Elephas maximus indicus: one gene and its partners. The protein of the gene in region 1 interacts with the protein of each later gene in a pairwise test. Links are inferred from orthologs where the notes say so. Each region holds a gene or a part of one and is shown in the gene's direction. Other genes may lie near its edges.

Region 1 (7,570 bases):
CACTTCACCATATCACCTGCCAAACAGGTTCCTTCCCAGGCTTTATAATAAGCCACTATCTAACAGCCAAAATAATAACTACCAATTAACAAAGATCTCCTATAAGCCTTGAATTATCGCCTTAAAACCTCAAGGTATCTAAGAGGTAATTATTATCTGCATTTCTGTGGTGAAACCAAGGCTCAGAGAGAAAGTCATTTTCCCAAGATCAGGACTAGGAAGGGATGGAGCCAGAATTCAAACCCAGAGATGTCTGAGGGCAGGACACAGCTTTAGTCATCTGTCCAGTAGTTAAACAGCATAGATTTAATCTAACCTTTTGCTCATCCTTTTTAATGGTAACATGTTCTGGGGCCTGAATGAACCACATTCCCACATTGTTAGAGTCTGGTGAATTTTCCAATTTTTCCTTTTAAAAGAGCTGCAGTTAAATAATTCTCCCCATATAGCTGTACTGGATTAGTGCTTTCATTTCACTCATTCATACACTCAATAAATTTTTTTCGAGTGCCCACATTGGGCCAGGCACATTCTTGTCCGAAAACAAAGTTCAGGTCTCCACAGAGCTCATATTTCAGTGGGGGTGACAGACAGAGGCACACAAATATAGAATATGTCACATGGTGAAACATGCCATGAAGATCACTGAAATATCAAATATGTATATATATATATATTTTTTTTTTATAGAGAGGCAGGGGTCTAGTGTAGGTAATGAGGAATGAAGTTTTTAATTCTTGTGGAATCCAGATTTCTGGGCTGATATTATGAAAGATTTTATGCTAATTATTTGAAATTTTAGATTAAATGGACAAATTCCTTGAAAACCACAGCTTGCCAAAAGTGAACTAGATCATCTGAATAGTTGTATTTTTTTAATATAAATATAGATATTTACATTATATTTATAGTATAAATCCAGATTTCTGGATTCCATCAAGGTTGAAGTGACCCACCCAAGCTATCACCCTAAGATGATCTTTGAGCCTTGAGCCTTGAGAAAACTGCCTTAAATCAAACAATACCCATTCCCATCAAGTAAATTCTGACTCGTTAGTAGTTCTTTTAAACGTATTAATAGTAAAGAACATTTTGCTTTGGGCATTGTGCTCTTTTAAGGAATTATCTATGTACAGTTTCAACAAAATAAACTCCAAAGGTCAAACTGGGGTTATGTCCACGAGTTATGTAAATGCTGTTTAGGCCCTATTTCCATGGCAACATATAATTACTAGTGACAAGATGTGGTATAAGAATCTTTGGACTCTTTTCTTCTTTGGAACATTTTTTACTTTCTAGTCAAAAATGTTGCCTCAATTTGTAAAACCTATGTTAAATACACTTCAATCGATTTCTATTAAAGGCTTAATATGATTTTTGTTTGCCTCTCTGAGTAAGTGACAGGTGAAATGACTGGTTGGATGAACAAGAGGTGGACAAGAGGATTCTTTTTCCGTGCCTTCTTGGGAGTCACATTTGGATGTAGTTCTCTTCCTCTCTCTAGCCAGAAAAGCTGAAAATAATTTTTCCCCCTCTCTCTTGGGAAAGACTCCTTCGGGGACCTATTAGGACAGCGTGACTGGTGCCAGGAAACGGTGCGGGAGCAGACGCAGGTTCAGGTGAGCCGGGGGGTGGAACATCATTGTGACGGTGATGGGGAGCCTGGTACGAAACAGAGGGCCGGCTGGGCACGGCTCGACAACTGATAAGAAGTGGCGGATGGCGGAGAGGCCCCTCAGTCCAATTCTCCCTTGCTCAGACCCATTTCACAGAAGTTTAAGGCACCGGAGAAGACCCCGGCGCCGCGTACCCTCCCCCCTCCCACCACCCACAAGCCACCCATCGTTCACCAGCTCGGTCAATGGGCACGCGCCCGCTCCAACCGGCTGGACGCGCGCCCCGGCAGCCCTACGCATGCGCGACCTCGCCATTACAGGTAACAGACGCGAAGCGCTCTCGCCTTTCCAGAGGAGTGCGCCTGAGCTGCGGGAGGAGGCGGGGGCGGCTGGGCGGGACTTAGACGCTGCGCGCGCGCGCTCGGCCCCGCCCCTCCCCGACCTCTTTGCTTTTTTTCTGGCGGGAAAAGCGCACGCGCACCCCTTCCTCTCCCTCCCTTCCCCTGGCGCGCAACCGCCTTTCGTCGTCAGTGGCCCTCGGCCGGTCCCGAGACGTGGCTTCAGGTGCACTCTGCGTGTGGCGAGGTTCCCCAGAATAGCCCCAGGGGAGAGCCCTTCCCGAAATCTTGGCAAAACCCCTCAAAGAGAGAGACTCTTCAATATGCCGGGGGAAAAAAAAAACCCGTTGCCGTTGACTCAATATCAGGGCCTTCCAAATCCTGTTAAGAGTCCTCTTGAACTCATGGCGGAATCCCCTCAGAAACCTTCGAAGAAACCCATCCAGAAATCTTATAGGTGGCCCCTGAAATCCTGTCAGAATCTTCTAGAAGTTCTGTCAGCCTCTCTCAAAGCCTGTCAGAGACTCCCTGAAATCCTGTTACACCCCTAATCCTAGCAGAGACCCCAAAATCCTGTCAGATCCCCAGAAAGCCTGTCGAACTCACCAAAAGTCCTGTCAGACTCCCAGAATCTAGTCGAAGACCCCCTCCAGAAATCCTGTCAAAGACTGCCCAAAATCCAGACACCTCTCCAGAAATCTTATCAAAGACTTCCCCAGAAATCCTATCAGAAACTTCCCAAAATCCAGAGATCACCCCAGAAATCTTGTCAGAGATTCCCCAAAGTCCTGTCAGAGAACCACAGAAATCCTGTCAGAGACTTCCCAAAATCCAGTCAGAGACCTCCCAGAATTCCTGCCGAGACCCCCTCCCACTGCAGCTTCCCATCGGAAGTCTTGTTGGACCCTTATCTGACCAGAGACCCCTCAAGACCTCTTCAGAAGTTAGTCCCCAAATTCTGTCATAGAGCTTCTGGCTCCTGTCAGTGCCACAACAGGGACCCTTCCTCACTCAAGCCCCACAACCATTGCCACCTTTTGCACCCTCAAGGGTTGTCCAAACCCTGGAAGGGTCTCTCTTCAAAGACCCTCTTTTCTAGGACCTTCTATAAGCCGCGGAGAAGCGTGCGACTTTCAGCTGTGGATCCCGATTGGCGCTGGGGAGAGCAGAGTGTTGGGAGTATTTGGTAAGGACAGAGGTCTGAGGAGGTGGGTTGAGGGGTTCCCCACTGCCCAGTGAGACAGAGAGCCCCCATATGGCCCTAGGGTCACAATCACATTGACCATTCACCCTGGCATGCTCAGTTCAGCCCAGTGGGCACCGTTTGGTATTGTGGAGGATCAGTCAAGTGGTAGACCTGGTTATAATGGAGGCAGCACAGGACATTGTCGGAGCACTGAGGAGTCCCAGGCTGCCCCAGGGACTCAGGGAACGTGTCCCAGGGGAACTGTGAGTGGGGCCGGGCTGGGGGTGGGAATGGCACCCAGAATATGGCCAAGGCCTGGAACGACTGGCCTCTAGCTGGGAATCCAGAAGAGGACCAGGACCAGGTATGGAGGGAAGATGCTGGACTTCCATTGCCATGATGAGGGTGAGGGACCCGGGAATGGGCTGTTGGAGAGAAAAATAGCAAAAAGAGAGAGGATGTTTCAGGGACTCCTGTGTGCAAGACCTTGAACAACAGCCCGAGGGGCTGGGATTCAGTCCTGGTGACACTAGGAAGCCATGAGAGGTTTGGGAGCAGGGATGGGGTCAAACTTGTGAGAAGCCAACAGTTCCAATACAGACTGATCTGGCAGTAAATAATGGCGGGAGCTCAGGGCAGTGTGGGGATCCAGAGACAGTGCCTGGTTCAGCCCAGGAGTGGAAATCAGAATTATCTTCCCAGAGTGGACATCCAGGCCAAAGCAGGAAGGGCTGACGAGTCAGTTCCTGTGATAGTGGCTTGGGGAAGGATGAACAGCATGCAGTTCTGAGTTGCTAGAGCATTAAGTGGGATTTGGGGTGGGGAGGTGGATGAGGCCAGGCCAGGCTCAGGAGCTGGGCTCTGTCCTGGGGGTGCTGGGGAGCCATGGGAGGGTATTGAACAAGGAAGGGCAGGTCAACTCTGGGGTCATGTGTAGAAGGGACTAGAGAGGAGAGACTGGAGGCTGGGAGACCAGAGAGGAGGCTAGGTGGAGGCTAGGTCCAGGGGGAGAGGACGAGGCCTGAGCCAGGGTTGTGGGGACAACTGGAGGCAAGGAGGCCACCCTGTTCTCCCTGACCAGGAGGCAGTGCCCCCTACTCACTAGCCCCCCGCTTTGATCTCTGCTGCCTGCGCCCCAGGCCCCCATTTTCCCAGCCCACACCTCCAGTCCATAAAACAGGTCAGAGCGGGCACTGCTTTGGTCCAGGCGGGGGTGGGCAAACAGGTTCTGAGACCCGAGAGCAGCCTGGGGCATAGGCAGGGTGGCACAGGCCCCCATCTGCGGGTGCCCAGTCGGAGGAAGCCATTCTCTGATTGTCCTTCCAGGAGCTCTCGAGGCAGCCAGTCCCCTCCCTGCCCCCCCTGTTGACGGAGGGAGGCTGTTAGCTTTGCCCGCAGCTTCAGAGCGGGCGGAGTGGCCCATGGACCTACCTGAGGGCTGGGCTGGTGGCCCTGCTGCAGCAAGTAAGTGGCTGGCTGGCGTGGGGGGTCAGTGCTGAGCAGCGAGCAGTGGGTTAACAGGGCGGGCCCCAGTGACGACTTGGGAAAGTTGGCTTGTGTGGCTGAATCTCCACCTTGGGGCAGGGGCGGGAGGGAAGGAGCAAGCAAACATTGATTAAGTACCTACTGTGTGCCCACCTAAGCAGCCCTGGTGGTGAAGTAATTCAGCACTTGACTACTACCCCAAAGCTCCGAGATTCAAACTCATCCAGCGGCTTCTTGGGAGAAAAGATGTGGCAGTCCGCTTCTGTAAAGATTACAGTCTAGAAAACCCTTTGGGGCAATTCTACTCTATCCAGCTGGTTTGGTTCACTTCGGTTCGGTGTGCCCACCCTTCTGTACACCTTGTCCTGTTTCTCTGGGGAGGCCAGACGGTGAGAGCAAAAGCCTTTGCACGCACTATTCCCCGGCCTGGAACTGCCTTCCCCAGTTACCTGCAGGTTCATCCCTCACATTATTCAGATCTCAAACCAAATGTTACCTTACTTCACAGAAGACAGCTGCCCTGTGACACTCTCTCCCTTTTTCTGCTTTGCTTTTCTTCACAGCACTGACATCTATTTGTCAGTTTAGTCTCAGTCTCCGCCACGGGAATGTGAGCAGCGCTTTGGTCTCTTTCATTCACTCTGCGATTCCCAGTCCCTAGAGCAGTGCCATCCAGTAGAAGCTAATATGCACCACATCTGTAATTTTCAATTTTTTAGTAGTCGCGTTTTTTAAAAAAGTAAAAAGGAACTGGCAAAATAAATGGCAATCATGCATTTTATTTAATCCACTATACCCAAAATAGTACCCTTTCAGCCTATAATCAGTACAGCAAATGAGATTATTTCACATTCTTTTATTCATACCAAGTCTTCAAGAGCTGGTGTGTATTTTACACTAACAGCATCTCAGTTTGCACTCTCCGCAGTGGCAAGTAGCTGCCGTATCGGGCAACATAGCTCTAGAACAATGGCTGGCACATAGTAGGAATGCAATAATTATTATTTGAATGACTGGGAGAATGCAGACCAAGTGGGTATAAAAGCTGCTTTGGGAGGAAGGCACTGGGTTACCCCTACTGAGACTCCTCAGGGGGTGTTGTGACGATGTGGTGCAGCCTTAAAGCTGGGACAGGGTGAGCGCTCCACAAATGGTAGTGATTTCAAAACCAAACTGCTCCTCAAAGCAAAACATTCCTGTTCTCGCTTTTCCCAAACGGGAAAATTGAGGCCTTGAAAGTCTTTGGCCAAAGGCCACACGCCTAGAAGTGGTAGAACCATCTAGACTGTGTTATAAGCACCCTCTGATGGCTCTCAATCTGATGTGAGGGCAGCTCTCCCACCCTTTGTTCAGTCTGAAAGGGGAGACAGGGCTCCCACCCTCTGGGAAAACCCAGTCTAAAGGGGGAGGGAGGTCCCCCACCTTTAGAAGAGCCCAGTCTAAAGAAGGAGGTAGGGCTCCCACCCTCTAGGAGAGCCCAGTCTGATGGGAGAGGCAGGGCTCCTACCATCTGGGAGAGCCCAGTCTAAAGGAGGAGGCAGGGCTCCCATCTTTGGGAGAGTCCAGTCTAATGGGGGAGGCAGGGTCCCTTTCTTAGAGGCTCCCAGCTGTCAGCAGCAGAGCCAGCTTCTTTTCCCAAGGCCCCACGCCCCAGGCCTGACTCTGGCCTCAGGAGGCTTTCCAGATAGGAATTCCAAGGCAGAGACCAGGCTGCGGAAACCAGAGGGCTGCCTGGCCAGGCTAAACTTCTCCTGCACCAGCAGAGGGCGTGCAGACACTGAGGAACCCGCAGGCAAGAACTGAAACAGCTTCAGGAGGCTCTGAGGAGAGAGAGGAACACACCCAAAGGGGGAGATGGAGACAGAGAAGGGCAGGAGGGGAAAAAGTCAGAGAGACGGCTGGAGGAAGGAAAGAGAAGGCTTGGGCAGAGGAGAGTCACTGAGAGATGGGAAGAGAAGAGAGAAGAAGGGGAGACAGGGAAGCAAATGAGGGCAAGAGACCTGGAGAGGCAAGACACAGGCGAGACAGACTGGGCGAATGAATGAGAGAAAGCCATCTAGAAGAGGCAGGGACAGAGACACAGAGAGAGACATCAAGGGAGGGTATAGATGAGTTCTGATCCTCAGAGCCCGTGGGATCGGGTACAGGGAGAAGATAAGACTTAAGGGAAAGCCCCTGGCACAGGCCCTGGCATCTCCCCTATCTGTGGGTTCCTGCCCCTCTTCTAGGCCAAACCTAGAAGCATGGGTTCAAGCCAGAGGGATGCCCAGTTTAGCTCACTGAAGAACCTCTGAAGAGTTAGAGGGATGAGAAAGAGGCTCATATGTTCAACAGGTGGCCTTGGGCAAGTCTGTAACTTCTCTGTGCCTCGGTGTCCTCATCTGTAAAGTAGGGCTAATAGTACTGACTACCCACATGGTGGGATGAGTTAATCCATGTGAAACGCCCAGAACAGGACTGACACCTGCTAAGTGCCGGCAGGAGCTTTCTGGATTTTACATCATTCCTTCCCTAGGAGGGAGGTAACACCATTCCCATTCTCCAGAGGAGGAAACGGGCTCAAGGAGGTCAAGTCCCTTGCCTCAGATGCCACCCCTTGTCTGAGGCAGAGCCCAGATGGCCCGGATGGGCCCAGCCCCACAGGTTTCTGAGGCCAGGACAGGCGTGCATCTATTGAGCACCTACTATCTGCAGGCACTGTGGATACAGCAGTGGCCAGAACAGACCCCATGACATAAGAGCTTCACATACACAGACCGAACCCATCTTACCTTCACCTTGTTGGCTGCCATTGAGTTGATTTTCAACTCACAGAGACTACATGTGACAGAGTAGGACTGCCCTCATAGGATTTCCAAAGCTGTAATCTTTATGGGAACAGATCACCAGGTCTTTTCTCCCACAGAGCTGCTGGTGGGTTCAAACCACCAGCCTTTCAGTTAGCA
Region 2 (7,716 bases), on another chromosome or scaffold:
AATTGGCTGATGGACTCTCCGTGGTGGGCAGCTTCCTTGGAGACCCCTTCCCATCTCCATTAGCACCCGGGGCAACATCGCTCCACCTGGTGGGTCCTAGAAGGACCATAGGTGCTTGTTTTTCTCAGCTCACTGCAGCCTCTGAATTCAGAAATGCCAACCTTTCTGTCTGCTCAGCTTTACACCGAAAGGGAACAAGCCGAGACGCAGTGCGATTATGCTTCTTAGGCTTTGGGGGTGTGTGACTAGGGTTGTTGTTGCTGCCCAATGCAGAAGCAATTCAGGGCTGTCCTATTTATCTGTGTAATGGCCACCCCTGCATGGTGGCAAGGCCCTCTTTGGGTAGAAAAGGCAGGATGATATAGCAGCTACATGAAGGTGTGAGGCTGCAGGCTGGTCCTAGTCCCCCTCCACCACTAATGAGCTCAGTCAGCTTGGTCAAGCACATTAATTTCTCTGAAGTCAATGTCCTTGCCTAGAAAACCGGGATAGTGATGCCTGTCCTGCCTCCCACCTGGTGGTTGCAAGCATAGAACGAGAAAACGGTTGTGAAAGTCTTTTATTTAACGCTCTGTACTGATTTCAGATGATGACTGTCAGCAAGAATGGCCTCCCTGCCACTGGCAGTTTATAATTTCCAACTTTCAAATAATTCTGTACTTCCAAAATGCCAAGCAGGTAGAATATTTAAGATAGTGAGCTGATTAAATGGAGTCCATTTCAAGGTGACAGATATATTACAAGCACCGATATTGTACCAGGCACTGAGCTGGATGCTGGGGAAATGTAGGGATGAAGGACACATCCGTTGGCTCACCATCTGGTGGGGGAAGCAGACGGGGGTCACAGAATTGGGATACCTGGGACTAGTGCTGACAGGCAGGCACCCAGGGAGCGTAGTGGAGGAGATCCAGCCCAGCCTGAGTGTTGCAGATGCTCCCTCAGGGAGGTGGAACCAGCACGGAGACTTGAAGAATGAGTGGGAGTTGATCCGGCCTGTTTGAGGCAGAGGGAACAGTGTATGCAAAGGCCAGAAGACACGCAGGGAAAATGGCCAGGGATGAAGCCAGATAAAGATTTGTTACTGTGTTCTGTAAGTACAAGGGAGGTATCAAATGACGTCAAGTTTGTGCTTTAGAAAGATCTTCCAGGCAATATTAAAGATGATTAGAAAGGGGAGGGAGAGGAAGCAAGCAGACCTGATAGCAGGTTTGTCGTTGAGAAATGATGAGGGCCTCTTGATAGGCTGTTGTGGTTTAGTAGGGGAGGTGAGACATGTTCACAGCTGGTACCAGTTGTACAAGGCATGTGTGAGCACTGGTACAGGTGGGATAGACAATAGAGGCAAGGGGGTTCAGGAGGAAACAATCAGAAGGTACATGGGCCAGGAGGGGGGACAGCAACCAGGGAATGGGGAGTGTAAGAGGCACTGACTTTGCTAGAAGGGCTAAGAGAATTATTCTATTCGATCTGATTGGGATAACCAGAGTGACACAATGAATTAATGTGGTTTCAGAGATAAGGGTTACATTTCATCAAGCTGGTCAGACCAAAAAGACTTTAGGTTAGAGAGAAAAGCCTTCAGAGTGATATTCCAAGTTTATCACACTGCAAAGGGAACAGACTATGGGCTGGTTTCTTGAATCCTGAAATTCTAGAACTGTGGGGCACCTCTTGAAATTAAGAGGAGAAATCATGAAGTCATCATACTGATTTTCCTGTTTCAGTCGTGTTTCACTACTTCATCCCTTTACCCAAGGCTCAAAGCCCTCCAGACGGTCCTCACTGCCTACAGGAGGGAGGAAAACCACTTTTCCTGTCCACAGAATGATTCTGACTTACCATCTTCCTCTACTGCAGAAACCCTCTGCTCTAGCCAAAAGGAATCACGCAGACTGCCTTCTGGGTCTCCCTACACCATCTCAACTTTACCTCTCTGCTTGAGATCCTTCTTGTAGCTCAAGGCCCAGCTGAAATCTCGTATCTTCTGGAAAGTCTTCCTTTATCATTCTAATTCAATGGGATCTCCTCCTTCCCTACATTCTGAGAGACCTTAATTGTTTTTATGACTTATTACATATCTGCACATTGTCTTGCACTGTTACCTTTTCATAAGCCCTGTGCTCTGTCTCCTCAAATAGACAGCAAATTCCTTGAGGCTGGGTATCTATTACTGCATAACAAATGACCCCAAAATTCATTGGCTTAAAACATCAGTCATTTTGTTATACCTCTTGACTTACTGGGACAGGAATTCAGACATGGGTTCAGTTGAGTGATTCTTCTGTTCCATGTGGTGTTTACAGAGGTCAGTTGGTTAAATTCAGTTGGTAGACAGACTAGTATGGGGACTACAAAATGGCTTCATTCACATCTGCTGCCTTGGTGAGAATGGCTGGAAGACTGGGCTCAACTGGGACAGTTGACCAGAGCGCCTACATGTGTCCTCTCCAGTAGGATGGTCTCAGGGTAGTCAAACTCAGGGCTCCCAGAGTGAGTGTTCCAGGAGGTTGGGTGGAAGCCGAAAAGTCCCAAAATTTCACTTCTGCCACATTCTATTAGTCAAGCAAGTCACTAAGGTCAGCTCTGATTCAAAGGAAATAGAACTAGACTTCACCTCTCAGTGGGAGCCATAGCAAAGTATATGAGTACATCTTTAATCTACCATACAGTATTGCCCTCAGACCTAGGCAAGGGCCTCAGGGAGGTCCCACACTATAGAGTGTTATCCTTGAGATCTTCTAAGTCCTCCTTCAGTGGCCAGTCTGTTTCTCCACTTCCGAGTACTCTCTGATCCTCTACCCCATGTGCAGAGTTGACCAGATGCCCTGGAGAGCTTTAAGACTCATGTCTAGGGGGTTGTTCAGGGCAACCTAGGAAGCCTTCTGCTGACCAACACAGCATTTCCTTTATGGCCATCAAAATGGTACTGCCTGCTGATTTTGGGTCACTCTCATTCACAATGGATACAGGATGAGTTCAGAACTCTGGGCTACTGATAGCCCACCACTGACCTTCAGGGTTGAGCTTCTTGTGTGGGTCTACGCCATGGCTTTCATCAGCCTGTGTTCTAACTGCAGTGCTGCCTCCAGTCTACAGCATGCCAGAATAGTGGGAGTGGTGGCATTCTTTAATCTGTATGCCCCCTGCCTCACAACAGGGTGGCCACTAGACCTCCTCCATGGGCTTCACACCACATATTAGGAGTAGCATGCCTATCTTCTCTATTCTAGAGCATTATAATGCCAAATGGCTTTACAACTGTTCCAGGTGAGGGTCAGATGTTCCTTGCACGAACGGGACTTTTCTTCTTGCACCATCCACAGGCCCCTTACCTATCCACTCCCTATCCTGTGTCATCTGGTTGTATGTGGAAGGTAAGGTTGTAGTCAATACTGAAAGAGATCACTTTCCAGGAACACTGTATCAAGGCTTAAAGAATTCAGGAGAAGACATGGTTGGAAGATACATTGTACATTTACACTATAAAATTCTGAAATATTATTTACATTTTCCTGGATCCTCTAGGTAAGACTTGCCATTAGTGTCATCATCAATGAAACACAGTAACAATCTTTGAGTCACCGGGAGCCAGTGTCTATGGGCAGCATGAAGGATGAAGCAGCATCGTGACTAATGATATAACTAGCATTAAATGACATTAAGAACTGGAGAGGCAAGATGTACATAGTTCAGTGCAAACAGGTTCTGAAGAGCCGTGGCATTGTGAATAACAGCACTGCTACCTTACCCCTAGTGTCTGTGCCTAGTACATAGTACGTGCTCAATAAATATTAGAATAAATGGAAAAATTAATGTTAGGGAAAGAAATGTACACGGGTGGACAGTCTCTTGGGACACAAAACTGGGTGGGATCCAGGATACAGGAAAATGGAAGCATCTACTTGTCAAAGGAAGAGGAACATCTCCTCCCTTGGGAAGGACTGCAGATAAGCCTGGGAGGGTGGAAACGGGCTAGGTCTATGTGGAGGAGCAAAAATGTCCAAATCCTTCAAGTTCTAGTTGAAATGCTACCTCCTTCATGAAGCCTGAGACACCCACTCAACCCGACCCCAGTTTGGCTCAATCTCTGTGGACTTCTTTCGGCTTTCTACATCGTGGAATAGTTTTAGCATATAGACGGCAACCTCTGAGGGCCGGAAGAACTGGTTTCCCCCACAGCACACAAGACACTACTCATTCGATGTGGGCTTACTGGGTGGATACATGGAGAGGGTAGACAGGCAAGTGAACGGGCTAACCTGAGACCGGAAAAGTCTGTGCCAGGGATTTCAGTGAAAAGCAAAATCTCCAGACCCGCAATTAACAACCGCAAAAGCCCACCACGGACTTTTCCTCTCTTAACTTGCAGGGAAGCGGAGATTTCGCCTGCTTGCCTTCAAACTGACTCTGAGGACCTCACGTCAGTATCCCGCGGCTGTCCTTGCCAATGTCTGACTCAATCCTGAAGCCAACCTTTCCCCCAAACCTACACCTCCTGTGTCCCATGTGAGACCAGGCCTCCGACCACACTTATTCTTCCTCTCCTAGCCTTTTTTTCGTCCCTCTTCTCTGGTCTCGTTCCCATGGCCAATCAGGCGCGCATGCGGGCAGTCCCGGCCCGCAGGGGTGGGCGGGCCCTGCGACCGGAAGCCGGAAGCCGGTAGCCGGAAGCCGGAAGGGGGCTGTGAAGACGTGTTCTGGGGAAGCCTGAGCTGGAGCCGGCGCGGCTGGCGCCATGGAGCCGCTGTACCAACAAACGCACAAGTGAGGGCCGCGGTGGGGCACGGGCGGGGCCGAGGCCAGGCTGAGCGACGCCGGCCCTCAGGGCTGAGACCTGGGGCATCCGCTAGTGTGGATGCCGAGTCCCTTCGCCGGGGGCGGCTCAATCTTTGGCTCGATGCCCAGGTTAGCGGCGGACAGAGGGTCCAGCCTGCGGCCTAGAGTCGTGGGGCTGGGTGGCTCCTGGGGTCGCCACCCGAGCCTGCGAGTCCGTGATTACCTGTTGGGTAGACTGAGTGGAGGGAAAATCGCACTTACTGGTTATAATACTGTGTCCAAAAGCAAAAACCAAACCCGTTGCCGTCGAATCGATTCCGACTTAGAGCGACAGTATAGCGACACAGCGGAACTGCCCCATAGGGTTTCCAAGGAGCGCCTGGTGGATTCAAACTGCCGACCTTTTGGCTAGCAGCCGAGCTCTTAACCAGTGCACCACCAGGGCTCAATACTGTGTTCAGCACCTACCACCTAGGTGCTCTGGTTGGTAGAGCTTGGGAGACACGAGAAGTAGGAGACACGGCCCTTGCCCATAGGATTTTACTGTTTAATTGGAGAGTCAAGACACGTTCGAAAAAATTACTAAAGTGTGACAGGATGGGGTGGAGGGTAAATGAGCAGTACAAGAGGGATTTCCTTAAGCAATTTAGAAGAATCCATCACTGGGCTGAGGTCAGAGAAAGTTTCATTATAGCTCACGGTTCCAAATGATTCAGTCCCCACTCAGGATCAGCCCCAAACTTATTGCTGCCACACCGTGATTTTTTCCTTTTATGCTGATTCGTTTTACCCTAAAGACCATCTTTTTATGGCACAAAGAAATTGCTGTACGAGTAGCATTCAGTATTATTTGCTGTTAACATGTGGTTATGGGTCGACTTTAAGGAAATCGAGTTTTGGTTTAGCTTCTCATAACTTCCTTGGTAGTGGCCTTTATTCATATTGTCCTGCATTTTTGGAACTCGTTGAAATATGTAGTTGGGCATGGTAATAGGAGCCGTGTTTTAACAACTTTCAAATTTATGCTACAGTTTTGTTCTGCTGAAAACACTTAAAATCACAGTCCCAGGGCCTGGAAATGAAGTAAAATAGACACCCAACCGCTCTAATGAATTCACAGCCTGAGAACCAAATACGTTGGAGCTTTAGGGATAAAAGGACGACGTTCCTCTTATCTTTCTTTTTCTCAGTTTATGTGTTTCTTTGTTTTTACTTTGGTGATGAAGTGTTTAGTTTGAAAATACAGAGCCTATTTTGTAATAGTATAAAAATAACGAAATTTGCTCTTCCACTAGGGACCCAATTCTCGTATAAAAATTATAAGAAGGGACTTGAAAAGCTAGACCTGTGAGTCAAATGGAGAAAAAATGAACCAAATTTATGCTCATGTCACTAAGGGCAAATCTTTTACACTAGCAAGGCATGGTGGGCTCAGTAGTGCCTTGCAGTTAATCTGTGATGTAGAGTCTCATCTAGTTAGTTACTTTGGTTAAAGGATTTCTAAGGAGGCTGTGATCCGTTTTCTTTTCAAGAATAGTTTTGTTTAGAGAATCTTAGCTGCAGGTGGTAGCTGTTCACAGGGAAATGTGGGTAGCTCAGTTCTGTGCAAACTGGTCCCAAGACTGTAGAGTGTAAATGAACCACTTACCTCTGCAGGCCCCCAGCAACCCACCCTCATTCTGACTCTACATCAAGGTTCGTCAAAGTTTTCTTTAAAGGGCCAGATAGTAAATATTTTAAGCTTTGTGGACCATACAGCCTCTGTGGCAGTTATTCAACTCTGCAGTTTAGTACAAAACCAGCCATAGACAGTATAGTAAATGAATGGATGTGTCTGTGTTCCAATAAAACTTTACTTACAAAAACCGGTTTCACCCACTACTGTGAGGCCCGCCACTATTCAGTCCCTCATTCAATGAGTAGTTATTGTGTTCCTACTGTGTGTCAGGAGTCCCTGGGTGGTACAAGCAGTTAATGTACTCAGCTGCTACCTGAAAGTTTGGAGTTTGAGTCCACCCAGAGGCAACTTGGAAGAAAGGTCTAGCAATCTACTTCCAGAAAATCCGCCATTGAAAACTAGATGGAGCTATTCTGACACACATGAGGTTGCCATGGAATCAACTTGATGGCTACTGGTTTTACTATGTCAGGCACCATTCTCAGTGCTGGCAGTACAGCCCTGCCCTCAAGAAGTTTACCTTCTTTCATGCTGCAGTATACCTAATCAGCCTTTCCCTTCAAGTACTGGACCAGGAGTAGATCTGGTTCTAGAAATCTTTGCCTTGTTTTCCTCATGTGTAAAATGATAGCTAAGGGTTCATTGAACTATAGGGCCCCTTTCCGTTCTTAATACTAGCCACTGAGTATCTTTAAAAGGACATACAAAGTGCTGTGAGCACCAGCAACTAAGTTTTGCAATTCCAGAAATTGATTGTAGCTGAATTGACACAACAGTAACTGATTATATTGATTTTGCTGGAACTTTGAACCCAATTTATGGTTATCTCTTGCCATGTGCCTGAAAGTACATTGGAATTAGATCAGCATTTTAAAGTTCTAGATCTTGGAAACTCGTGAACTACCTGAATAGTAATGGGAAGACAAAAAGATGAAAAACAATAAACATTTTATGTGTAAATAATACTGCATTAGGTTGACTTTTATAGAAAACTAATTGCCAGGCTTCTACTTCTGAGATCTCGGTGGTAGTGAAGGTGCCCACATTTGTCTTCTGCTGTAGTCCAGGATTGGTCTGGCATCCTGGACATTATCCCTAGGAATTCTAATTCAATAGTCCTGGGACACAGGAACCCCTGTTTTAACAAGCTTTCCAGGTGACTTTGATGAACAGTTGAGTTTGAGAACTATTTCCTTATCTCAAGACCAGTTTTTCCTTTTTAGATTGTGCTCTCTGATGAGGTAAAGGCTAAATATGAA
Region 3 (7,979 bases), on another chromosome or scaffold:
CCACTGCCCCCACTACACGTTAGCTAATATTACTGTGGTCACTTCAGCTAGTTATTATAGTTACCTTATCTGTAAAACAGGTCTAGCATATTTGCTCCTTCGACTTCCGAATTTTTGTAAAGTTGTACGTAGAGTCGCTGTGAGGCGCAACTGACCCGATGGCACCCAACAACAACAAAAGAAAAAGGAAAAAAAAATAATGGAAGGGAAAGTATTTCATCAGCTACAGCATCCTCGGATTCTCTACCCTGGAGGAGGGTCACGAGAGGCTAGAGGGCAGGTCCAGGCAGGGAGCAAAAAATGTCCTTGTCTTATCTGTGGCAGTCAAGATCCCAAGAGGATGCAGGTGGCATCCTAAAATGGGATCATTTGAGGAGGCAAAGGTGTGGGCAGGGAGTGGGGGCCCAGTAGGGGTGGTCCGGTAGCCTGAGCTTGCAGTGGGGGAGCTGGTACCACCCCTGGACTGGAAGGGGGAAGGGGACAGGTGACAGCTGTCTGGGAGGAGAGTGACCTTCCGTTGAGTGACATAGCCAAGCTGTGGGAGGCAGGGGAGGAAGCCACCACTGTCCAGAGGACCTGGAAGCCCACTGAAGTGGGCCGTGGTCTACACAGGCCAGTGTCGGTCTAGAGAAGGGGAGATGGTGGGAGAGGCTCTGGAGACCAAGGGCAGCAGCCCACCCAGTACCACTGTGGCCTCCAGGGGGCTGACAGTGCTGCAGAGGTCAGGTAATTACTGTCCTGGGTCTGCTGGAACAAAGGACCACAAACTGGGTGCAACAAACAAGCATGTATTGTCTCACAGTTCTGGAGGCTCCAAGTGTGGACTCAAGGCGTGGGCCACACCATGCTCTCTCTGTCCGCTCTGGGGAAGATTCTCCCTTGCCCTTCCTAGCTTCTGGTGGTTCCCGTACTCCTCATCTCATGGTTACCTCACACCCATCTCTGCCGCCCTCTTCTCACGGCCATCTTCCCTCTGCGTTTCTTCTCTTTAATAAGGCCACCAGTCATATAGGATTAAGGGGCCGTGGAAGTTCACGGTAGACTCCTTGCCTTCTGTGCAGAAGACCTGGGCTCCATTCCTGGCTGGCGCACCTCAAGCGCAGCCACCACGCATCTGTCATTGGATGCTCGTGTTGCTGTGATGCTGAACAGGCTTCAGGGGAGCTTCCAATTAAGACAAGGGCTGGCGATCTAATTCTGAAAATGAGCTGATGAAAACCCTACGAGTCGCCCTGTCCAATCTGCAACCGATCATGGGGTCATGGGGATGCTGCAGGACCGGAAAGCATTTTGTTCTGTTGTGTGTGGGGCTGCCACGAGTCGGGGGCCGACCGCTTACCACAGCGGCGAACAACAGCAACGTAGAGAATTAGGATCCAGCCTGCTCCAATACAACCTCATATTAACTGATAGCATCTTCAAAGACCCTATTTCCAAACAAGGTCATGTTCACAGGTACTGGGGATTAGAACGTCAACAGATCTTTTTGGGGGACACAACTCAATCCATAATAGGTGTGGTGGAGGGCAGTCTGGCTTGTCTGCAAAGCTCCGCTGCTTACCTGGGAGTAAAACGAAAAAGCCAGAAGCCCAGGACCACAGTCTAGTTCTCTATTGGGTGCCCAGCAATTGTGCACCCTACTCCTGGCCGGCCTCAGTTTCCCCAGCTATAAAATGGAGGTGTGGAACTACAGTATTACCCAACCTCTGAAAATCCCTTGATCCCAGATTAATTTTTACCTGCACTTACCTGCAGCCCAGACTTCATGGAGCTTTATCTTCTGAATTTGACCTCCCTGGCCACCCCCCTCAAAAAAAAAAGACATTGGGTGCCTTCTTTGGGACTACATATGTACTTCCCCTTGTCCCCTGTTGGGGGGCTGAGGGGCTTCTTCTCCTTCTTCCTCTCCACCCCCTGCTGATGGAAACTTCTGGGTCACAGGCTATCCTTTCAAGTTCCTTCCAGCTATGTTGTTGTGTATCATCAAGTTGACCCTGACACATAGCGACCCCACAGGGCAGAGGAGAACTGCCCCACAGGGTTTCCAAGGCTGTAATCTTTATGGAAGCAGAGTACCACATCTTTCTCCCGAGGAGGGGCTGGTGGGCTCTTACTGCTGACCTCTTGGTGAGCAGATGAGCACTTAGCCATCGCGCCACCAGGATTCCTTCCTTCCACCTATATAGGGCCACAATTTCTTGTCTGAAATATTTTCCTTCTCTAATGTTCTTAATTTTAGGGTTGGGCAGGTTCAAACATCTGAAAACAGCCAGGGTTGCAAGAAGAATGGGCAGGCGACGAAAACTGTGAGCTCCAGCACCAGGAGATTATTATCTCGCCTTAGAAGCAACATCTGCTGGCTGTCTACCCATCCATTCCCGGAAACAGCAGCACTCTGACCTGCAACCCCAAAATGGGGCTGAAATGGGGAGCATTGTTTAAATCATTCCTTCTTATACCCCAAATCTTGGAGCTGGGAACAACAGCAACAAAAAAAAGACAACGTTTGTGGTCACTCCTGTCCATTTACAGACGAGGAAACTGGGGTCCAGGGAGGGTCACCCACCAGAGCCTTGTGTCCACCTCTTTTCTTGCTCACTACCCCCATCTCTCTATACAAGGTCAAGAGCCTCGTGGTGAGAACAAAATGGATCTTAGAAACACGTTGAGAAAATTAGGAACTGCTGAGTGGTTCATTAAGAGAATAAAGGTAAAACAAAGAAAAACACTCCACTTGCTGGAAGTTCTGTTTATACACAAAATGTGTAACCAAAAGACTCCTGAAGCCTGAGCTCTGGCTTGCTGCCTGGGTGCTCCCCACACGCCGTGTCCTTTCCTGCCTCCTCATGCTCACAGGTACTGAAGTCTGAGGTGCTCTACTCTCTCCATGTTTTGTTTTCTTTGAACATATATTTAGCACCATGAAAAAAAAAAAAAGTTAACAGTTAATGCTCTCAGCTGCTAATCCAAAGGTTGGAGGTTCAAGTCCACCCAAAGGCATCTTGGAAGAAAGGCCTGGTGAGCTACTTGCTGAAAAATCCTCCACTGAAAACCCTGTGGAGTGTAGTTCTACTCTGACACAGGTGGGATCGCCATGACTCTGCAGGGACTCCATAGTAACTGTTGTTGTTTTTTTTTTCTGATAAAGAGAGAAGGAGGGGGTGGCACAGACTCCAGGGTGGCCCCACCCGTTGCTACTCATGTGGGATTCTGGCCTTAGCATATCGGTGTGGCCTGTGGTGAGTTCTGTAAAAAACTTGGGCCTGAGAGGGGACACAGTCACTCCTACCCTGAGGCCCACAGGGTCTCTCCTGACAGGTGGAGTCAGATCCCAGGTAAGTCCCCAGCGCGCGTGCCTGGGGAGTCAGGACCTGCAGGCGCAGGCAGGCTTCTAACTTTCCTTCCTCACCTGCTGCAGGAAGGGGCTGAAGTGTCTGGGAGGTGGCTCCCGTGGTGCTGCACACCGAACCTCTTGGGGAGAGGCTGTACCTGGGGATCGGCCCTGTGGGTACCTCGGCCACCAGGATGCTGGCGGGCTGGCCCGGGGGGGCCTGCGGTAGAAGCTAGGGCATTCCATCCCTGCTGTCCCGCGGCTGGCCAAGGGATAGCCTCCCATTAAGACCTGAGCTCTAGCCCGCTGATCCTCGGTCCAAAGCCCCTTCAGCCCACCAGGGCGAATTACGAGAAACCTGTAAAAGGCTGTGGAGCCCTCGTGGGGATTTTGAAAACGAGGGCGTGCCGCAGTTTCCTAGACTGGGCCTAGGGCATAGTGAGCGCTCCCAGCAGCGGTGCTCCTGCCCTCTCGGCTTATTCAGGGATTCTTTCGGGGTTCCGGCTGATAGGATACGCCGGGCCTCGGCGGTGCAAAGGGGACCCCGGCCCAGCGCGAAGGTAAGGACTTTGGGGGACGTCTACTCCGTGCCCTCGCAGGCCCGGCGCCGTTTCCCCAGTTGCTCAAGCAGGCAACTGCCTCGCGGCCGGGATCCCACTCACGTTTGGTCGCGTTCCCTCGGCCCCCTCGCGGTTTTCCATGTGGAAGGCTTTCGGCCGGGCTTGTTCGAGGTCTGCAAAACGCGGCCCTGATCTGGGCAGCAGCGACAGCACCCCCTAATTCATTCCAGGCCTCGGACCGCCCCTCCCTCCCGGGATGCCCAATGCTGGGGCTGCAGTAGGGGGACCCCTCCCTTCTCTTCCTACCAGGCCAGGAAACCCGTCCCGGTATCAGACTCCACCGAGGAGCTCCCTTTGCCCTGGATGCCGTCCCTCCGCTACCCTGGGGCGCCCCCCACCGGTCACCCGCAGCCCAGCGCTCGGAGGGCGCCCCTCACACCCCCGCAACACTGACAATCCCCCTCAGCTCCCACACTTGTCCTTCATCCCCAGGCGCGCCCTTTTTTATCGCACGCAGAAAACGCTCAGGTCTCTGCCAGCGCCCACCGCCTCCTGGAATCTCCCCAAGCCCTCCACCCATGTTCGGCACGCCCAGGTCCGCGCACCTTCTTTTCACCCTCCCCCACACCTTTGAGGGTTGGTTCAATCCTAGGACCCCTCTCCCTCCCCTGCTTCTAATCACTTTCTTCCACGGCCGCCGTCCTAGGATGGCGCAACCCGCACCCCGCGCTCCCAGCCCGGCGCACTGGCGCTCCAGCCCTGCGGTGCCCCTCCCGCCGCTCGGAGCCTCCACCCCGCGTGCATCCCCAGGGCGCTCCCCTCCCTCCACCCCGCTCCGGGCAGGCGCGGGGTCTCCAGGGTGCGCTACCCTCCCCTTCCCCCCCCCTCCCCCGCTTGGGGCGGCGGGGGTCCCCCGGGGAGCCGCCCGCCCCAGCCGCTGTCCTTTGTGCGCTCGGCAAGCACGCTGCGTCAAGGCGAGCCGCTGCGCCCCGCGTCCCCCCGCCCGCGCCCCATTAACCCCGGGAGGGCGGGGGGGCGCGGGGAGGGGCGCGCGGGGCCCAATCGCTCCGCGCGCCCGCCGCCCGGCACCGCCTCCGCCATTGCTGCGCGCAGAGCGGGCGACGCGGAGCTCCGAGCTTTCGAGCCAGACCTGCCAGAAGGCGAGGGTGAGCGCCGGGCCGGAGCGCGGGGAAGGGGCCGTCCATCTCCCCAGCGGGGTTGGGGCGCGGGGGAAGTGGGGGTCGCCGGGGTGCACGGCTCCAGGGCTACGGACACGTCTACATGGGCTGGGCAAGGGCGGCGCCCCCTCCTCTAGCCGCGGGCACCCCTGCGCGGCCGCTTTTGTCCAGCGAGGTGGGATCTGTACATACGGAGCACGCCACCTCCTATCGGGCGGTGACCGCCGTGTCCACACGACCCTCGGGAGCGAGGCGGGGCTGGCAAGCGCGCGGACGCCCCGGGGACGCGGGGTCGGGGGCGGGGAATCCCCCCTCGGGCGGCGGGTGGGTGCGGGTCTTGCCCGCGATGATGCCCCCGGCCCTGTGCTCTGTAGGCGGCAGCCTCGGTCCCCCGGCAAGATGGTGAAGTTGGGGAACAGTTTCGCGGAGAAGGGCACCAAGCAGGTGCTGCTGGAGGACGGCTTCGACACCATCCCCCTGATGACGCCCCTGGACGTCAATCAGCTGCAGTTCCCGCCCCCGGATAAGGTAAGGGGCTCCCCAACGCCTCCGCCCCGCCGCAGCCCCGCGCGGCCGGGTGCGCACCCCTAAATCTCGGGCGGCGGCGGCGGCAACAAAAGAAGCACGCCGCGTGCGCTGGGGCTGGAGCTGGGCTGCGCGGGGCGGGCGGCGCGGGAGGCAGCGTCCTCCGGGATTGGGTGATGGGGGGCCTCCTCCCCTAGGTGACAGCTTCCTCCTGACAATGGAGCTGGGAGAGAGCCCTTCGTGATGTTCCTGGGAGTCTTGTCTGAACGAAGTCCTTGCCCCTCAGCCGCAACTTCTGCCCCCTTCCTTCCTGCCCCGGCCCGGCCCATCCTATCAGGGGTTCTGTGTCAGTGGAGGCCCTGAGGGGGTGCAGCTTCTGGCCCGCTTGCCCATTCCAAGGTGGACGGCCGTCTCCTTGGCCGGGTGGCCCCTCCTTGGGGCCTTCATTGCCCGTCCATTCCCTTCCTGAGACACCCGGCCCCCCCGCACTCCATGCTGGCGCTGTGTGCCCTTCGGTAGAGCCCCTTCCTCGCTTTGTTCCTCCTGTCCTCGCCGGAGTATCTGTGGAACTGTGGACACGTTTCAGCATCATCTTCCCCGAGGCATGTTTTGGCTGAATTTAAAGAATCCCCTTTTCTTGAATACAGCATGCAGTCAGGTAGTTTCTGTCCATTAAGAAGGGTATTCTCAAGACGGAAAGGTAAATGAGGCGTGTAAAAGTCTAGATGATTGCGTCAAGATCTGAAATCAAACACAGCATCCATTCTGGCCACCTTGCTGCTCCTTAAAAACTACCCCGGCCACAAATGGTCACCTTGTTGGGTGAAGTGCGTCTGTATCGATCATCTCGTTAGGTCCTTGGCGGAGACGCTGGGACTTGGCTTCACGGAGGGGGCAGGGACCGGGTGGAAGATTGCCCCTGGTGGGCCATTCTTAGGGGTTTGGAGCTTCTGCTGTTCGCAGTGTGGACCCTTTGAAAGGCTCACTCAGCTTCCCAACTTTCACGCCCCCAACTCTGTTGTCTGAGTTTTGGGTATGGGACACCGGAGCAATGGCAGCCAGGTGTTTCAGCTTGGGGAAGGGGGATGGGCTGGTCACACCTGTGCCCCCACCCCCAGCCATGGTAAGACCACCCTGGGCATCGAGGGTGCAGGCTGGCCCAGGCTGGGCATTATGGGAGGGTCCCCTCCCTTCCTAGGGGTCAGACTTGCCTAGTGAGCCAAGCTTGGCCCCACTGCCCCCTCCCCTCCAACCCCGCCCCCGGCTGTCTGCCCTTCAGCCGAGGAGTGGTGGCCACCTCTGCCAGCAATGCTGTGTCCCTAGGCAGCACCTTATCAGGTGATTCCCTCCTCAGCCTGAGCCGCCTCCTTCTCCCTCTGCTTGTTTCATTCCCAAACAGTCTGGTGCACAGCTGGCTTATACCAGGGAGTAGGGTGTCAGGCAGGTCTGACTCCCTGACTAACAATCGGGCTGTCCAGGAGTACTGTAAACAGCTCTGAGAAGTAACGAGTGTCCTGTCCCTGGAGGCATTCAAACAAAGGGTGGCTACCTGGCAGGGATGCTTTGTTGTGTGAGCTGCTGAGTTGATTTCAACTCACGGCAACCCCATGTGACAGAGTAGAGCTGCCCCATAGGGTTTCCTAGGCTGTAATCTTTTCGGGAACAGATTGCCAGGTCTTTTCTCCTGTGGAGTGGCTGGTGGGTTTGAACCGCTGACCTTTCAGTTAGCAACCATTGGGCCAGGGATGCTTCAGAGGAGGGAATTCCAGCAGGGGTCGATGGTTGGGCTAGAAGAGTTCTGAGTTGACTGATGAGGAAACAGTCCCAGAGTTTCCAGGACACGCCCAAGGTCACTTAGCTGCTGGTTACGATTCTCCCGAATGCAGAAGCTTCTGCTAGTGCCCGTTGATCCTCCGTACCTTGAGGCAGACATCTCTCACACGAGACTTCTCCTGACCAGAACAACAGCAGAGTGTTGCTCGCAGCCAGGGTTCCAGGAGGCAACGCACAGGTCTCCCGAGGGCTGGTGATGCAGCTACGGTGGGAATCCGGAAGCCTTCTGAGAACGTGCATCGAGGCGCTGGCGGCCCCTGGAGACCGTTGTCATGGAGTCAGCAGAAGTGTTAGCGGCAGGCTTACCTGGCGTTTGTCGAGGGCTTATTATACACCAGGCAGTATTCCACGTGCTTTACAGGTTTAAATACCTTTAATGCTCTGCCGTGGTGGTTCAGTGGTAGAGCCTTGCCTCCCATGCAGGAGACCAGGGTTCAATTCCCGGCCAATGCAACTCACGCGCAGCCGCCGCCTGTCTGTCAGTGGAGGCTTGCATGTTGCTAGGATGCTGACCAAGTTTCAGCGGAGCTTCCAGACTAAGATGGATGAGGA
Region 4 (7,901 bases), on another chromosome or scaffold:
AATGTAGAACAAAATTCTAACTCACAAAAAAGGACCAGACTTTACTTGTCTGACAGAGACTGGAGAAATCCCGAGAATATGGCCCCCAGACACCCTCCTAACTCAGCACTGAAGTCACTCCTGAGGTTCACCCTTTAGCCAAAGATTAGACAGGCCCATAAAACAAAAGGAGACTAAATGGGCACACCAGCCCAGGGGCAAGGACAAGAAGGCAGGAGCGGACAGGAAAGCTAGTAACAGGGAAGCCAAGGTTGAGAAGGGGAGACTGTTGACATGTGGCGAGGCTGGCAACTGTCTTAGTCATCTAGTGCTACTATAACAGAAGTACTACAAGTGGATGCCTTTAACAAAGAGAAATTTATTTTCTCACACTCTGGTAGGCTAGAAGTCCAAATTTAGGGCTTCAGCTCCAGGGGAATTCTTTCTGTCTCTGTCAGCTCTGGAGGAAGGCCCTTCTCATCAATCTTCCCCTGAACTAGGCGATTTTCTACTCAGGAACCCTGGGTCCAAAGGATGGCTCTGCTCCTGGTGCTTCTTTCTTGGTGGTATCAGGTCCCCAACTCTCTGCTCGCTTCCCTTTTAACTCTTGTAAGATAAAAGGTGGTACAGGCCACACCCCAGGGAAACTCCCTTTACATTGGGTCAGGAATATGACTTGAATGAGGGTGTTACCAGCCCACCCTAATCCTCTTTAACATAAAATTACAATCACAAAATGGAGGACAACCACACAATACTGGGAATCATGGCCTAACCAATTTGATACATATTTTGGGGGGACACAATTCAATCCATGACTGCAACCAATGTCATAAAACAATATGTGTAGTGGGATGCAGACCCCAAAACCTCATAAGTCCGGACATAATGGTCCAACTAAGACTAGAAGGACCCCGGTGGTCACGGCCCCCAGACCTTCTGTTGCCCCAGGACAGGAACCATTCCCAAAGCCAACTCTTCAGACATGGATTGGACTGGACAATGGGTTGGAGAGGGATGCTGGTGAGGAGTGAGCTTCTCGGATCAGGTGGGCGCTTGAGACTATGTTGGCATCTCCTGCCTGGAGGGGAGATGAGAGGGTGGAGGGGGTTAGAAGCTGGCAAAATGGACATGAAAAGAGAGAGTGGAGGGAGAGAGCGGGCTGTCTCATTAGGGTGAGAGTAATTGGGAGTATGTAGCAAGGTGTATATGAGTTTTTGTGTGAGAGACTGACTTGATTTGTAAACTTTCATTTAAAGCACAATAACCCAATAAAAATTATTTTAAAAAAAAACCTCTGGAGCACAGCTCTACTCTGACACACATGGGGTTGCCATAAGTCTGAATCGGCTCGTCAGCAACTTTTTTTTTTTAATGTATTTTATGCCTGCAACAAGATGCATATACTTTTTTTTTTTCTGTTCCCAAGACAGTGTGTTGTTATTCAGAAGCGAGTGTTTTCAGATCCCTCTCTGGACAATAAAGTACTGAATTTGGAGTCAAATATATATATGTGTGTGTATTAATTGTTTGATGAGAAGCTAATTTTCTCTGTAAACCTTCATCTAAAGTACAAGAAAAAAAATCTTCTGCTTCCAATATCTAATAAAATAAACAAAAGCTTTAAAAAAATTAAAAATATATTTACCAGATAGCAAAATAAAAGAGGGCATTACCTATTTCAAAACTGGTGGCCAAGGAAAGAAAAAGAAGGGAGAAAAAAAAAAGAGAGAAACAGCTGTATTGCTAAAAAGACAAAAGCCTGGGATTCTTACTATTACCCTCAAATTCAGGAAGAAATTTATCTTTTTGAACTTCTAACCAGAGAGTAATGGAAATGAGTGAACAGGGAGACTAACCGCTGATGGAAACACAGTTTCAGAACTACTCAGAACTGAGGGCTGGATCCAAGCCCTGGAGCCATCTAGAGTAATTGGTCAGGCCAAGGTGGAAAAAATGGAATAGCGAGAGAAATAGGAGAAACTTGAACAGGATACGATGTTATGAAAGACAGGAGAGAGTATTACAAGAAGAATGGACTAATCCTGAGTAAAATGAAGACAAGTGTCCACTGGATTTGGAAAAATAGAGGTTGTTTGGTAACTTGACAAACTGAATAGAGTGGAGAGAATGGAGGCAAAATTGAGTCCAATAAATAAAAACCAGTTACTTAGGAAAAGTGTAATTCTTCCAAATACTGAGACCAGAGGTAACGTTTTTCCCCTGGGAACTCTTAGACCCAGCATGTAGGGTTGTGAAAAATATCCTCAACAATATCCTACACTAAACATAACACGTTTCACAGGGTTGCCCCTTAATATAGACATCAGAGATATTATAGAGGCTTTTCTTCATTGAATGAAAAATTTGGACCAAAAAAACCCTCTAAAATCTCTCCCAATGGTAAGAATATTAATACTGGGATGTCCCTTTCCTTGGAAAGGTCTAGACTTGCTCTAAGAAGTCATCTTGTGGTGGCCATAATTTAAAAGTATGAGCTGAGTTAAATATTTATCATCTGGTGTGGACCAGGAGCTGAAGGGGATGGGATAATGTCACTTAATGTCGAACAAAAGGATTGCTAAATAAAAAAGAGAACCCATTAAAAGTCAAAAAGTCTGAATTTATACATTCTAGGAAAATTTGCAAAGAGAGCCAAGGCCCGCTGGAAGAAAGGCAATTTTCAGAGGCACTAGAGAATTTTATGGACCTGGCATTTCAGGAATACATTTTGCAAGTTTGACTCAGTATAGAAGTTTGACTTAGTATGGAAGCAGAGCTCTGATTAGTGACTGGTCTAGTCTGCAAAGAGCATGGGTGCCCTGGCAGACTTACTTTTGAGGCAGTTTTGCAGAAAATGGCTTCTTATCCCAGGAACAATATTCTACTCTACTTATTTCATTAAGCAGTTAATAGAAAAAAAAATAAAATCAGCAATTTAGAAATTTAATACCATTTAAGAGGTTACGTTGATTGCCTAACTACACTCAAATAGTGTTGTCAAATAGTTAAGAGCGCAGGCTGTGAGGACAGGCTGACTGGAGTCCTTAACGCTAAAAGGCTCTATAACCGTGGACAACTTAACCTCTTCAACTTTCAGCTTTCTCATCTGTAAAATGGAGGACAGGGCTGTTGTGAAGAGTGAATTTGACAGTGACTTAGTGAGGTCCCTGGGTGGTACAAATCGCTTGCACTTGACTACTAACTTAAAGGTTGGCCACTTGAACCCACCCTGTGGCACCGTGGAAGAAAGGCCTAATGACTTGCTTCTATAAAGACTACAACCAAGAAACCCCCATGAAGCAGTTTTACTCCCTAACACATCGGGTCATCATGAGTCAGAATCACCCAGACAACAATGTATTGAGGACTTAGTAAGTACTGAAAATGTAGACATCATGCCTTGAGGAGCCAAAGGGTATTCCCGCCATTTTTCCTGAAATTGGTAACTAAAGCAAAAGGTGTTAAGTATCCCACATAAGAGGACTTCCAGATACGAGACCAGTGACTGTCCTGCCCAGTTTGCACTACAATTCCCTCCCTCCCTCCATTAAAAAAAAAAGTCAGTTTGAAGGGGTCTTTTTAGGGAGTGCAGTGCTTGTGAAGAGAAACATTCCACTGGTTCCCTGGCACTGAAGATGAGAGGGTGAAGCCCCACAGGAATGGAAAGCTTGAGGGTATGTACAAGACCAACATCTCTGAGCCCAGGTAGATACTCCCTTGGTCATCAGGCTTGTTAACTTGCCTTGAAACTACCATCAGCAGGTAATTACCTGAACCCTCTCTCTAAGCTTGAATTCCTCCCAATCTGTTTGTCTCCAGATCTCTTGACCCTCCCCCTTACTAATCTTTGGACCATCTACAGTGTGAGCATTACTTGGGTAATTACTATTCCTGTGAATACAGCCTATTCAAAATATAGAAACTGAAACTGGACAGAACCCTGTACAGCTAAGCTTATACCAGCACCACTACGAGCAGCCAGAACAATAGATAGGCATTTTAATACAATTTTATGTGTCAACTTGGCTACGCTATGATGTCCAGTTGTTTGGTCAAATACTAGCCTAGTTGCTGTAGTTACTTGTGATCAGATCAATTGGCCTTAAGTAAAGCAGTTTACCTTCCATAACGTGGGTGGGTCTCAACCAATCAGTTGACGACCTTACGAGCAAAAAAGGAGCTTCCCTTGAGAATGTTCTGTCTCCAAACTATAAATGACATTTTACCAGAACTCCCACTCTCTTCCCTTTGTCTGACCTACAGATCTGGGAACATAAGCCTGCAGGAGTCTCCAGCCTGTCGCCTGACCTCTGCATTTACTTAATCACCGGAGTCAGTTTTCTTGAAGTAAAGCAATCAATCTCTCTGTTTATATGTATACTTTTTTTTTTTTTTTTCCATTGCTGTTGGCTCAATTCCAATTCATGACAATCCCGGGGTTTTCACTGACCGGTTTTTCAGAAATATATCACCATGGTTTTCTCTCAAGGCACCTCTGGGTGGACTTGAACCATCAACCTTTTGGTTAGCAGCTGAGTGCATTTACATTTTGCACCTCCCAGGGACTCCACATCTGCATCACTAATTCAGGGACTCCACATCTGCGTCACTAATTCTGTTTCTCCAGGGACCTCTGACTAAGACAATACACAAAAGCAGAAATAAGGGTCAAAAAAAAAAATTTTTTTTTTCAAAGCACACGAATAAAAGCAAACTAAATACAAATAAAAACAAACAAGTGCTTTTACCTGAGTCACCACATTCCAAAGAAGCAGAAAGCCAGTGACTGAAAGGTTCCTGTTACTTTCGCCCTCCAATGAGGCAGGCACAGGCAGCACCAGGTTCAGCCCATGCGAGATGCCTCCCTCCCAATCACAGACCACCCTTCCCTGGTCTTAGAGCTCCAAAGAATCGCTGCAGGGTAGAAAAGCACCTCAGGCTCCTGCCGACTTCGGAGTGGGCCAGCGCGGCCAGAGGAGGCGGCCCGGGCTCCGTGAGTAGCCTGCGCTCTGCGGTGAAGCCCACTGCACGCTGAGTGGTTGGGGTGCTTTCCTGGGGGGAAGCCAGCGGCCTGACAGGGAAGGGGGAAGAACAGGCATTCCTGAGGAATGGAGCATGTCATTTTTTGTGATTTAGGATGTTGTGACTGCTTCATTCTCTTTTACTTTGAACTCTATAAATTGCTTTCTTAAAACCTTTGATATCATTGTCCTGTTCTCAGAACTCTGGTTAAATTTCTTTTGGGAATCCTGATTTCAACTTCAAACTTCTCACAGAAAGACCAAGAAAAATCCTAGGACCCTGGGAAGCTGATTAAATCTCAGTCACTTTTATAGTCCTCCCGTCCCCCCCACCAACAATTTCCTTTTGGAGTCAGAAAAGCAAAAGGAATTTTAAGGAAACCAAGTCATGTTCATTCTTAATAATCTGTCATTCGGGTAGAGAGAAAACTTCCCCGTCTTGTCAGAAATCGTTTGATCCTGCTAACTCATTACGTGATTTGTGAGACAATTTACTCACATTTCTTCTCCGCAAACAGTTATGCTTAATAAATGTGTCCATGAAATAAGTCAACAAATTAACTTTAACTATGCAGTGTTGTTTTTACATAATTTATTTTCACTTGTCACCAATTAGTGGATCCACCAGGATCCGGAGGTACTAAATATACAATTTTGTTCAAACAACATTTTTGCTTAAGATGCAAATTAAGTTTCAAGTAATGCTAGTACTATTTTTTCTTATATCAAGCTAAAACCTCACTTGTAATAACTAGTTTTAAAGATTTTTGTAATCTTGAATTTTTAATAATTTTTGAGTTTTTTAAAGACTTGACCTTTTCTTTAATGAGTTGAGTTGCTAAGTACAACAGGAAAGAACTCTCTTAGAATATATATATACGTACATATATTTATAACTTAGAATATATAAATATATATATTTCAGTTTTATATATATGTGAAGAAGGAGTTTTTATTTTGATTTCTCAATGAGGAGAAGAATTTCTTATTTTGCTTTCTGCTACAATAGGCTTAAAAATCAACTCACTTTCATAGACTTTTAGATCCAAAAGTAACCCTAAAACCAAAAAAACCTGTTGCCTTCGAGTCGATTCTGCCTCATACCGACTCTATAGGACAGAGTAGAACTGCCCCGCAGAGTTTCCAAGGAGCGCCTGGTGGATTTGAACTGCCAACCTTTTGGTTAAGCCATAGCACTCAACCACTATGCCTCTAGAGTTTCCGTAACCTTAGATACCATCTAATCAATAAAAACAAATGAAATCTCAGAACTTCTTTTCTGACCTCGCCTACTAAACCTTCTTAACCAAGGCAAACACCAAGCAACCCTAGAATGTGCTGTGCTCTGCTGCTGGAGTCGGAGTCTGATGACCAGGCAGGCTGCCCACAACCCTAAGAGGCCACCATTCCTTACCTGGGCCAGAGACCACACTCATGAGGTGGTTCCCTAAACTCAGTTTCCCCAATGATGCTCCATAGCATTCTTGCCCTGGCACTGGGCCATCCCGTCCTCTCCTGAGGTCCTTACTTGGCTGAGAGTGCCTGAGCCATTGCTTACATCTCAGCCGTGGACTTCAGGTGAGTGAAAGACTCAGATCCTCACAGGGAACATCGGGATCTAGGGAAGCACCGTCCAGTAGAACTTTCTGTGATGACGGAAATCTGTACAGCAGCCATAGCTACATGCGACTGTCAAGCACTTGAAATGTGGCCAGTGCAACTACAGAATTCGATTTTTCATTTTATTTCATTTAAATTTATTTGCATTTAAGTAGCCACATGCATTTGGTAGCTACCATATTGGTCAGCACAGGTCTAGAGCTTTAAAGTAAGAAAAACCGATGGGTGCTACAAGCTGTGGCTGTTATAACCGTGAGTATCATGGCCATGAGAACAAGTTCCTCTTTTCGTCATTACCAGGGACTCATCCTAACCAAAACTGAAGAACACCAGCAATCGTCCTGATCTAAAGTTTTCATACCCATCTCTACTTTCATCCCTAAATCACACAACTGTCTGCTCTTATCCTGGGTTGCAGGGCTGGGGCTAAGGCAACACCGTATTGTGTTTCTTGATTTCTTCCTCTTCTGCTCCTCCTTTTTTTTTTTTTTTTTCTTTGTCAATCTAAATTTCTCTAGCTTGAGCTAGAGTTTGAGGTGTGGTCTGTGTGTTCTTCTGGTGCAAAAAAAAAAAAAAACTTGGGCGAGGGAAAGAGGTAATGAACTTAAAAAATGATCTCATGCTTGGTGGGCGAGCCACACTCCTTTTTCTTCTGCTTTGAAAATTGGTTTGCTTAGAGAGCAATTGTTTTTAGTCCTAGTCAATGTGTCTGGAAACATCAACACTACAAATACGAATAACTTTTAGAAGAAAGTTATTCATATATTCTTTCCCAAGGGAAGGAAAAAAATAAACAAGAACTAAAGCTCTTGTCTTTTAAAAAATCTACACTCCTTGATGCAAAGGAACTCCCAGGGTGTTGAGCAATTTGAGTAAATCATCACTGTGCCTGGCCAGTACGTGGTTTTTCCATGGGGTGGGGCTCGCAGGGGCCTATTCCTTTCTGTGGAAAACATTTTGAGGTGAACTGCACACTTTGAGTCAATATTGTTTCTGAAGTGCAGAACCAGTACTCTGCCTTCTGCCTTCTACTGGTCCTACTTCTTTTAATCCACCTCATCCCATTTGTTTCCTTCTAGCTTGTCTAGGTAAAGAAATCTAGTACATAAGAGGGAAGCGCTGCTTTAGAATAACGCAGGAATGTTTCAAAAGACCACATAGAGTAAAACCTGTGAAAGCCGGAAGCTGTGTAAGGCAGAAACCTGTCAGAGAAGGAACTCAATATTTTCCACTAATAGAGATCGATAGAAAGTGGTAAGCTGTACATTGTCAAAGGCA

What was found.
Region 2: the proteins of KASH5 (region 1) and GOSR2 interact in binary tests that used the Homo sapiens proteins (3 or more experiments, as listed by UniProt). The two-hybrid records come from large-scale screens. The link is inferred for Elephas maximus indicus from reciprocal best matches to the Homo sapiens genes KASH5 and GOSR2.
Region 3: the proteins of KASH5 (region 1) and NSG1 interact in binary tests that used the Homo sapiens proteins (3 or more experiments, as listed by UniProt). The two-hybrid records come from large-scale screens. The link is inferred for Elephas maximus indicus from reciprocal best matches to the Homo sapiens genes KASH5 and NSG1.
Region 4: the proteins of KASH5 (region 1) and UPK1B interact in binary tests that used the Homo sapiens proteins (3 or more experiments, as listed by UniProt). The two-hybrid records come from large-scale screens. The link is inferred for Elephas maximus indicus from reciprocal best matches to the Homo sapiens genes KASH5 and UPK1B.

The regions. Positions count from the first base shown.
Region 1 is NC_064829.1:99,849,104-99,856,673, forward strand, and holds the start of KASH5 (protein KASH5), read left to right. Parts: upstream 1-4,561; coding exon 4,562-4,604; intron 4,605-7,570. UniProt on the Homo sapiens protein: As a component of the LINC (LInker of Nucleoskeleton and Cytoskeleton) complex, involved in the connection between the nuclear lamina and the cytoskeleton.
Region 2 is NC_064837.1:52,052,220-52,059,935, reverse strand, and holds the start of GOSR2 (Golgi SNAP receptor complex member 2), read left to right. Parts: upstream 1-4,679; 5' UTR 4,680-4,738; coding exon 4,739-4,767; intron 4,768-7,716. UniProt on the Homo sapiens protein: Involved in transport of proteins from the cis/medial-Golgi to the trans-Golgi network.
Region 3 is NC_064823.1:156,810,860-156,818,838, forward strand, and holds the start of NSG1 (neuronal vesicle trafficking-associated protein 1), read left to right. Parts: upstream 1-4,961; 5' UTR 4,962-5,057; intron 5,058-5,443; 5' UTR 5,444-5,468; coding exon 5,469-5,597; intron 5,598-7,979.
Region 4 is NC_064819.1:9,501,387-9,509,287, forward strand, and holds the start of UPK1B (uroplakin-1b), read left to right. Parts: upstream 1-4,868; 5' UTR 4,869-4,975; intron 4,976-7,901. UniProt on the Homo sapiens protein: Component of the asymmetric unit membrane (AUM); a highly specialized biomembrane elaborated by terminally differentiated urothelial cells.